Oryzias latipes: one gene and its partner. The protein of the gene in region 1 interacts with the protein of each later gene in a pairwise test. Links are inferred from orthologs where the notes say so. Each region holds a gene or a part of one and is shown on either strand. Other genes may lie near its edges.

Region 1 (2,743 bases):
CTTCAACGCAGAATTATGACGTTTGTAGCGTATCAATGACGTACAAGTCGGATACATGTGTCCTGGCCGTTCAGACAGGGGTCGCATTTTAAAAGATCGGATACGTATCGGATTCAGGACCACATACCCAAGTAGCCTGGGTCACATTTGAAAAGATCGGATCTGTGTCGTGCAGACTGTCATGAAAAGATCAGATACAGGTCGCAAAGGGGCAAAAAAATCGGAACTGGGTTGTTTCAGCCTGCATTGTGAACGTAGCCATAGATTCTTTACATCATTCAACCTTGGTTTACAGATAATTGTAATTGTCTGTTTTCTATTTTTCCTGTTACTTTCACTCTTATGTTTTTGAAGTTAAAGGAGTTGTGCCACCGAGTTTCTATTTCCTGTTTGCAGATGGACTCAATTCTGTATACAGAGTTTTTGTTGTGGAGGGAATGTCCCAGTCTGGACCGATCCTCTGCCTTTTTGAGCCGCGTTTACAGAGAAGACATTGGACCTTGCCTATCCTTCACAAGATCAGAGGTCAGAATGCTTCTTTGCACAGTCTTAAATTGATGTGTGAAGTAGTACTGATACCCGTGCTGGTGTTTTCCTACAGCTGTCCCAGCTGGTTCAGGGTGCAGTGGAGAGCAATTCTCTTACCATTGAGCCTGTGGCCATACCAGCTCTGCCGATGATCAAAGCCTCTTTTATAGAGTGCGGAGGCCCAAGGTGAGTTACCCATACCTTTAATGACCCTTTTTTAGTCCCCCTATTCACTTCTAAATAGCCAAATCAACCTTGGGTGTTCACTCTTTTGGTGGCCTTTGCTCATCCACTGGTCATTTATCAGTGTGGTCCTTTCACTGTCACAATAGTAGTGTGTGAATCATTGGCCATACGCCTAATCTTCTTTTTGATCTAAAAAAACCCCTCTCTTTTTCTGTGGTTATAGGGCTGCAGTAGAAACGTAAGTCCAGTCAGGAATCTATCATTCGATCAAACTTTCACTAATCCACATGACTGTGATCTGAGCTGGATCCTACCGTACAGAATGTGTTTCAGACTTTAAAAGAATGCAAACTAATGATTTTATGCGTCTGCTTTTGCATTAACGTGCATATCTTTGGTCTTTTTGTGACTAACCTGGGTTTTGAACCTTTTTCTATTCTAGTTTCCTTAACTGCCAGTTTTCCAATAGTTTTATTACTAAACATCTAAAGAAAAAGTGCAAACTTGTTTGCACCTCCATTCTTGACTGTTGACCTCTGTTTATAGAAAATGTGCATTAAGTGGCCTGTCACGGGCCTGCCAACATCGCATCAAACTGGGTGACAAGGGCACGTACTATTACATCTCTCCGTCGAGCCGTGCGCGAGTGAGCATTAAGATTTCTCTGTGAATTTTATCCTAAAAGTGACTGGTGTTGTTGTGAAGTAAAACCAAATGCGAGTTCTGTTCACATTTTTACAGATCACAACTGTTTGCAACTTTTTTACCTATATCCGGTACATCCAGCAGGGCCTGGTAAGACATGATGGTAAGTTGGACTTACTGCTTTCCTAACTCTTTGTTTGATCGTCCAGCTGACAGCTTTGATTGCCTTTTTTTCCAGCGGAGCAAATGTTCTGGGAGGTGATGCGTCTTCGCAGAGAGATGGCTGTGGCCAAGCTAGGCTTCTACCTCACTGACCAGGGCTAGAGGTCCACCAAACACTCGGCAGATAGCAGTGTGATCACACGAGCCCCAATAAATCACTTATAATCAGGAAAAGTTGTGCCAACATGCAGATGTTTGATTAGCTTTTTGTAATATTTATGCTGAAGGAAAGGTCACCCAACAAGGGAAAAAGAATTTGTTAAATAAAAAAAAAGAAGCACAGGAAACTTAAGATTAAGGAAATTCTAGAACACTCACTGATTCTGAATAATGTGCTACTGTTGTTCTCCAGTGATTCACTTCTGTGGTGTTATAAAATATTCGAAACATTTCATTGTTAAGACTAAAGATGAACTATTTATCACACTTCAGGCTCTGAAAGACTATCCATATAGTTCTTCTGGGTTTTTCCTTGTTCAGCCACCTCAGGAAAACTTTTTCTTACTGAAATTATTCTGAATACAAAACATGGCCGCTAAGAGTTTCTTTCTCAGCATGGCCTTCACTGTGCCTTCTTATACAAAAACATAAAACAAAATACCTGTATTTTGCCTTTTTGCCAAAAAAAAAGTTTATCCCAAATAGATATCACCATGAAATCCCAATATCTCACAGATTGACATAGTAGAAAAACAAGCTTTTATAACATGTAGTGAACAGTACACCAAAAGCCATCAAGTAAATTGAACAAAAGGTAAACACAGCCATATGACACTATGAAAAGTAACCTGCTATACATTCGGCTTGGCTGGAAACATTTTTTAAAGTGTTTTGATGGTAAAAAATGAAAAAGTTTGTATTAGAGCAATAAAAATAACTTGTAAGGATATTAGTAACTGTGTTCCATTAAAAGCAAGGCATCAAAGCCTGACTGACTTATGTAGTTGGTGTTATTTTTAGATCACAATCGGAAGTGTTAGATTCCCTGACGTGGTATTAGAAAGGTCATTGCCTGGTTGCCCTGACTCACACACACACAGTTGCCCAACAGGTTTGTAAGCAGGTAGGAGGCTCATGAAACAACAAGGTAACACCAAAATCCCTCAGAGGAGATTTAAAGTCTCAAAATCTCTATTTTGAAACAAACACTAAGACTTTTAGG
Region 2 (4,287 bases), on another chromosome or scaffold:
CACCCTTCTCAATTGCTTCCTAAAACGGGCAACGCCATGTTGAAACCAGTCGACAGTGATTGGTCCAAGTCGCTCTGAGTCATCGTATGTATGGCAACTCAACTCAACTCAACTCAACTCATCTTTATTTATATAGCACTTTCAGTCAACAGCCGCCGACACAAAGTGCTGAACACGAGAAAAAGAAGAAAACAAACACTAAAACATCTTAAAACACAAGATTAAAAATAGAGAGATAAAACAATAAAAACCAGTACAGCAACACAGCAATAACAGAAGTCTCATGTCATATTAAAAGCCAGAGCATAAAAATGGGTTTTCAGGCGTGTTTTAAAAATGGACAGTGATGGAGCTTCTCTTACTGACAGTGGCAGAGAGTTCCAAAGCTTTGGAGCAGCAACAGAAAAAGCTCTGTCCCCTCTGAGCTTCATCTGGACCTCGGTACCTCCAGAAGCAGCTGATCAGCTGATCGGAGGCACCAGGCCGGCGAATAGGGAGAGAGAAGTTCAGAGAGGTACAGCGGGGCAAGATCATGTAAAGATTTAAAAACAAATAAAAGAATCTTAAAGTGAACTCTAAAATTCACAGGATGCCAGTGGAGCGAAGCTAAAATTGGCGTGATGTGGTCTCTCTTACGTCCTCCAACCAGAAGACGGGCAGCTGCATTTTGAACACGTTGGAGACGTGAGAGAGACGACTGGCTGAGTCCAACATACAGAGAATTACAGTAATCCAGCCGGGACGTGATGAACGCCTGGATTACTGTTTCAAAATGTGCAGCTGTTAAAAAAGGTTTTACCTTGGCAAGTTGGCGAAGATGAAAGAAGCTTGACTTCACCAACAATAGTTGCCATTGGAGATACCAAGCCCTACAAGGACCAAAGAGCAGAGAGATGTTAGTTCAGTCACTTGTGTTTTTGCTGTTTTTCTTAAAAAGGATCAATCAACAATACCTTCAAAGTAAATCAATGCAATATGATTTATTACAACAGAAAAATCATTTACTTATTGTCTTTGGTTCTTTTGTGCTTCCTACATTTTGATTGTAAACAGTCAATTATATCTCTACTTTTGATGCTGTGAGATGGAATTATTGTCTGCATTTTTCCAATGGATTTCCCAAGTTATCCCTTGCGAGGAGATCCAGTACTAAAGGAAGCACTTCACCTCCTTGTCTTTTTATTTTGCAGAATTAAAAATATTTTTTTCCTTCTTAGACACAGTAATTTATCTCAGAAAGGATCCTTCCTTAAAAAACAACAACAAAAAAGATTTAAAAAACCCCAAACAAATTAAAACAAACAAACAAATGAACCAGACAAATAAACAAACAAACAGCAGTTCCCTGTACCGCCGCCAGGCGTCACCTTTCCCAGGAAGGGGGCGCTGCTTGAAGGAAGAAGAACTTGCGGAAGTTGATCTTCTCCTTCAGTTCCTGACGGAAAAGTAAAAAAGAAAACAAAAAATAACCCAAAAAGAAAGACAGAAACGCATTTAGTCTTTAAGATAACTGCAGTTCGGATTAACGCGAGGACGATGGGCACCAGGGATGACGAATACGACTATTTATTCAAAGGTGAGGTGCGTTTGTTTCGTTTAGCGGTCGGGCTAACGGCCCGGGGATCAGCTGACAGGCTAACGGAACCGAACTCATGCTTCGTGCCGCCACAGGCCCTTTCGGGCTTCCCGGGGGGGTTCGGCGCGCATGCCGCCTGTGATGCGGCCTCCACCCAGCGCCGGGGAGGCGGCTCTTTGTCTGCCGAGGAGTACTAGCTAAGGTTAGCCGGTGTTAGCCCCCGGTGCTAGCCCGCTGACCGGAGGCGCGCGGGACACACCTAACCGTTATCGCGTTTGATCCAAATGGGGCCGGTACCGAGTGTGTTAGTGTACTGACGGGTCCAGCTCGTCCGTCATTGAACTTGAATCAATCTGTCTGTCATTTATTCAGACAGTGTAAAACCAAAGTCAATAGTATATTTTTGAAGGCTACTATTATCTTTTGCTTTAGTTTTCCACAAAAATATAAAAGCAGTAAAGCGGCTGTTGTTGTTGTGATGCTGGTCGGCCGGTAGAATACATGAAGGTGGAAAGATGTTCGATTCCCTGTAATCTTCCATGGTTGGACACGGCATCCAGCTGTTTAAAGGAAATCCTTCAATCAAAAAGTAATTATTGTGTAACTTATTACTAGTAGAGCAAGGAATTATTAATTAATATTGTGACATTTTACCCATTAGTTATTGATTTACCACAGACTCTACCCAAAGGTAATGATGACAGCAGCACAAGGCAATTATAGATGAAAAATTCCACTTAAAACTTTGATTTTCATGTTTTTATGTGTAATATTTTAGTCGGACTTGTTTACTAAATTGAATTTCCTGTTGGGCTTCTTTTGGCACACATATGTGTGTGTGTGTGTAGTTTCTGTGTCCTGGTAAACGTCTGTCATTAGTGTTTTTGATTTTAGTCTTTCAAAAGCATATTGTTCTCCGGTTCTGCTTCTCTCAAACTAGATAAGCTACACTTTCATTTTTATCAAATGAAGTTCAAAAATCAACACTATTAAACCATCCAAGTGTGAAACAGGTTGTGGTCTGCAAGTCTTGCAAAGAAAGTGACATAAAAGTCAACAAAAGGCATTTTGAGGCTGTAGTATTGTCAGGAAACAGGTCATTCTTTTACAAAATAACTGGTAATCTGTGAAGGATTACAGTTTGGAGGTAACTTTCATAACACGGGTCCAGTCCATGACGACCTGCCAGATATTCTGTTCTACTCCAGCCTTTGACTTTGGAGCTTTTGGTAGATCCAGGGGCTTCAAAGCCGGCCTCTGATTGGGCGTTCCATAAAACGGATGTGCAGTATTTGGACTGAACAGAAATGTTATTGCTGACGAGACGACACTTCGCATCACAACATCCCAGATGTCAGCCATGTTTAGTTAAAGGAGATGAAGTTTGAACCATCAGCCTCCTTGGCTGCTAAATGAATAGAAAGTTTTCCATTTATTTACACTGGAAAATGAAAAACACCTTTCGGTATTCCTTGTATACGTGTTCTTTGGTTTTATTCAGTATTTTAATTTTTAAGATCATGTGTGGGGTTACTTGTTGGGCTTTTGGGGGAAAGAGGGTTGGAATTATTTTGACATGAATGTGCTTGTTTAATTCTTTGTCTTGGTGTCCAGCACTGTGAGCATGACGGCGCTACGAATGAAGCCTGACGGGCTGACGGGGCGATGGCGGCTCAACTGTCTGTTTCATTCCCGTCTGCTGACATCCTTCCAGGATGAAAATGGAAACGTCGTTTTGAATGAGGCAGCGAGTAAATGATTGTTGGAGGTCTTTACTGTAGTCGTAACGTAGCTCTGAAGCTCTGCTGACCGTAAATGTAAATGTAGCAGCAGAAGTGGGCAGATAGCTTCTGACCTCCCTGATGGTGTTTCTGGCTGAAAACAACCAAAACCCAGAGAATTCTGAACTGTTCTGCTGGAACAGAAACGGTCAGTAATTGTAACCTTAGCACCAGGGGAGTGACTGCAGCGTTAAAACTTCAGGAGAACCAGAGATATTGAAGAGACTGGATAATGAGGAGGTGTTAAGCTGACCTCTGCCCTGGCAGCAGGACCAGCTTCAGTTCACCTGCACGAACCTGCAGTTTGTGCAGAATTCTGGGCTTTATTGCAGTCAGTCAGGTTTGGCCCAGTCTTTAAAGTTGGGTTAGCCTGTTTGTTTTAAGAGCTGCTTATGAGGCCAGACGGGCGTTTCTTTGGTGATGTCAGAGAAGTGGACTGAATTTAAAGAGTAACTATCTAAAGTGACCAAAGGTCTATGGTTGAGGGCCTGCAGTGATACTGGAGCTGTCCACAAACTTGTCTGTTTGTAACTATAGAAAACCTTACAAAGAAAACTTAATAGCTGACTTAAACTCTGTAGATCCCATTGAAAGTGAAGAACAAAATGCTAAAAGTTACACCTGAGAAACGCTGTCATGCATCAGGACTCGTTTATTTCCATTTCATACTTTTGTTCCCTGTCAGCCTTTAGCCCGGGCTGAGGATGACCTTTAGAGGGAAAACGATGGCTTTTCTTACCTGCCTCCTCTTTGGTCCTCAGTGGTCCTGATTGGTGACTCCGGCGTAGGAAAGAGTAACCTGTTGTCCCGCTTTACCCGCAACGAGTTCAACTTGGAGAGTAAGAGCACCATTGGGGTGGAGTTTGCCACGCGCAGCATCCAGGTGGATGGCAAGACGGTGAAGGCCCAGATCTGGGACACTGCCGGTCA

Evidence for each region. The genes of interacting proteins can lie anywhere in the genome.
Region 2: the proteins of rab3il1 (region 1) and rab11a interact in a two-hybrid assay, tested with the Homo sapiens proteins (2 studies listed by BioGRID and IntAct). The two-hybrid records come from large-scale screens. The link is inferred for Oryzias latipes from reciprocal best matches to the Homo sapiens genes RAB3IL1 and RAB11A.

What each region holds. Positions count from the first base shown.
Region 1 is NC_019864.2:15,776,828-15,779,570, reverse strand, and holds the end of rab3il1 (guanine nucleotide exchange factor for Rab-3A), read left to right. Parts: intron 1-396; coding exon 397-525; intron 526-601; coding exon 602-714; intron 715-937; coding exon 938-952; intron 953-1,260; coding exon 1,261-1,360; intron 1,361-1,455; coding exon 1,456-1,522; intron 1,523-1,597; coding exon 1,598-1,683; 3' UTR 1,684-2,211; downstream 2,212-2,743. UniProt on the Homo sapiens protein: Guanine nucleotide exchange factor (GEF) which may activate RAB3A, a GTPase that regulates synaptic vesicle exocytosis. Promotes the exchange of GDP to GTP, converting inactive GDP-bound Rab proteins into their active GTP-bound form.
Region 2 is NC_019861.2:431,336-435,622, forward strand, and holds the start of rab11a (ras-related protein Rab-11A), read left to right. Parts: upstream 1-1,374; 5' UTR 1,375-1,536; coding exon 1,537-1,576; intron 1,577-4,118; coding exon 4,119-4,287. UniProt on the Homo sapiens protein: The small GTPases Rab are key regulators of intracellular membrane trafficking, from the formation of transport vesicles to their fusion with membranes.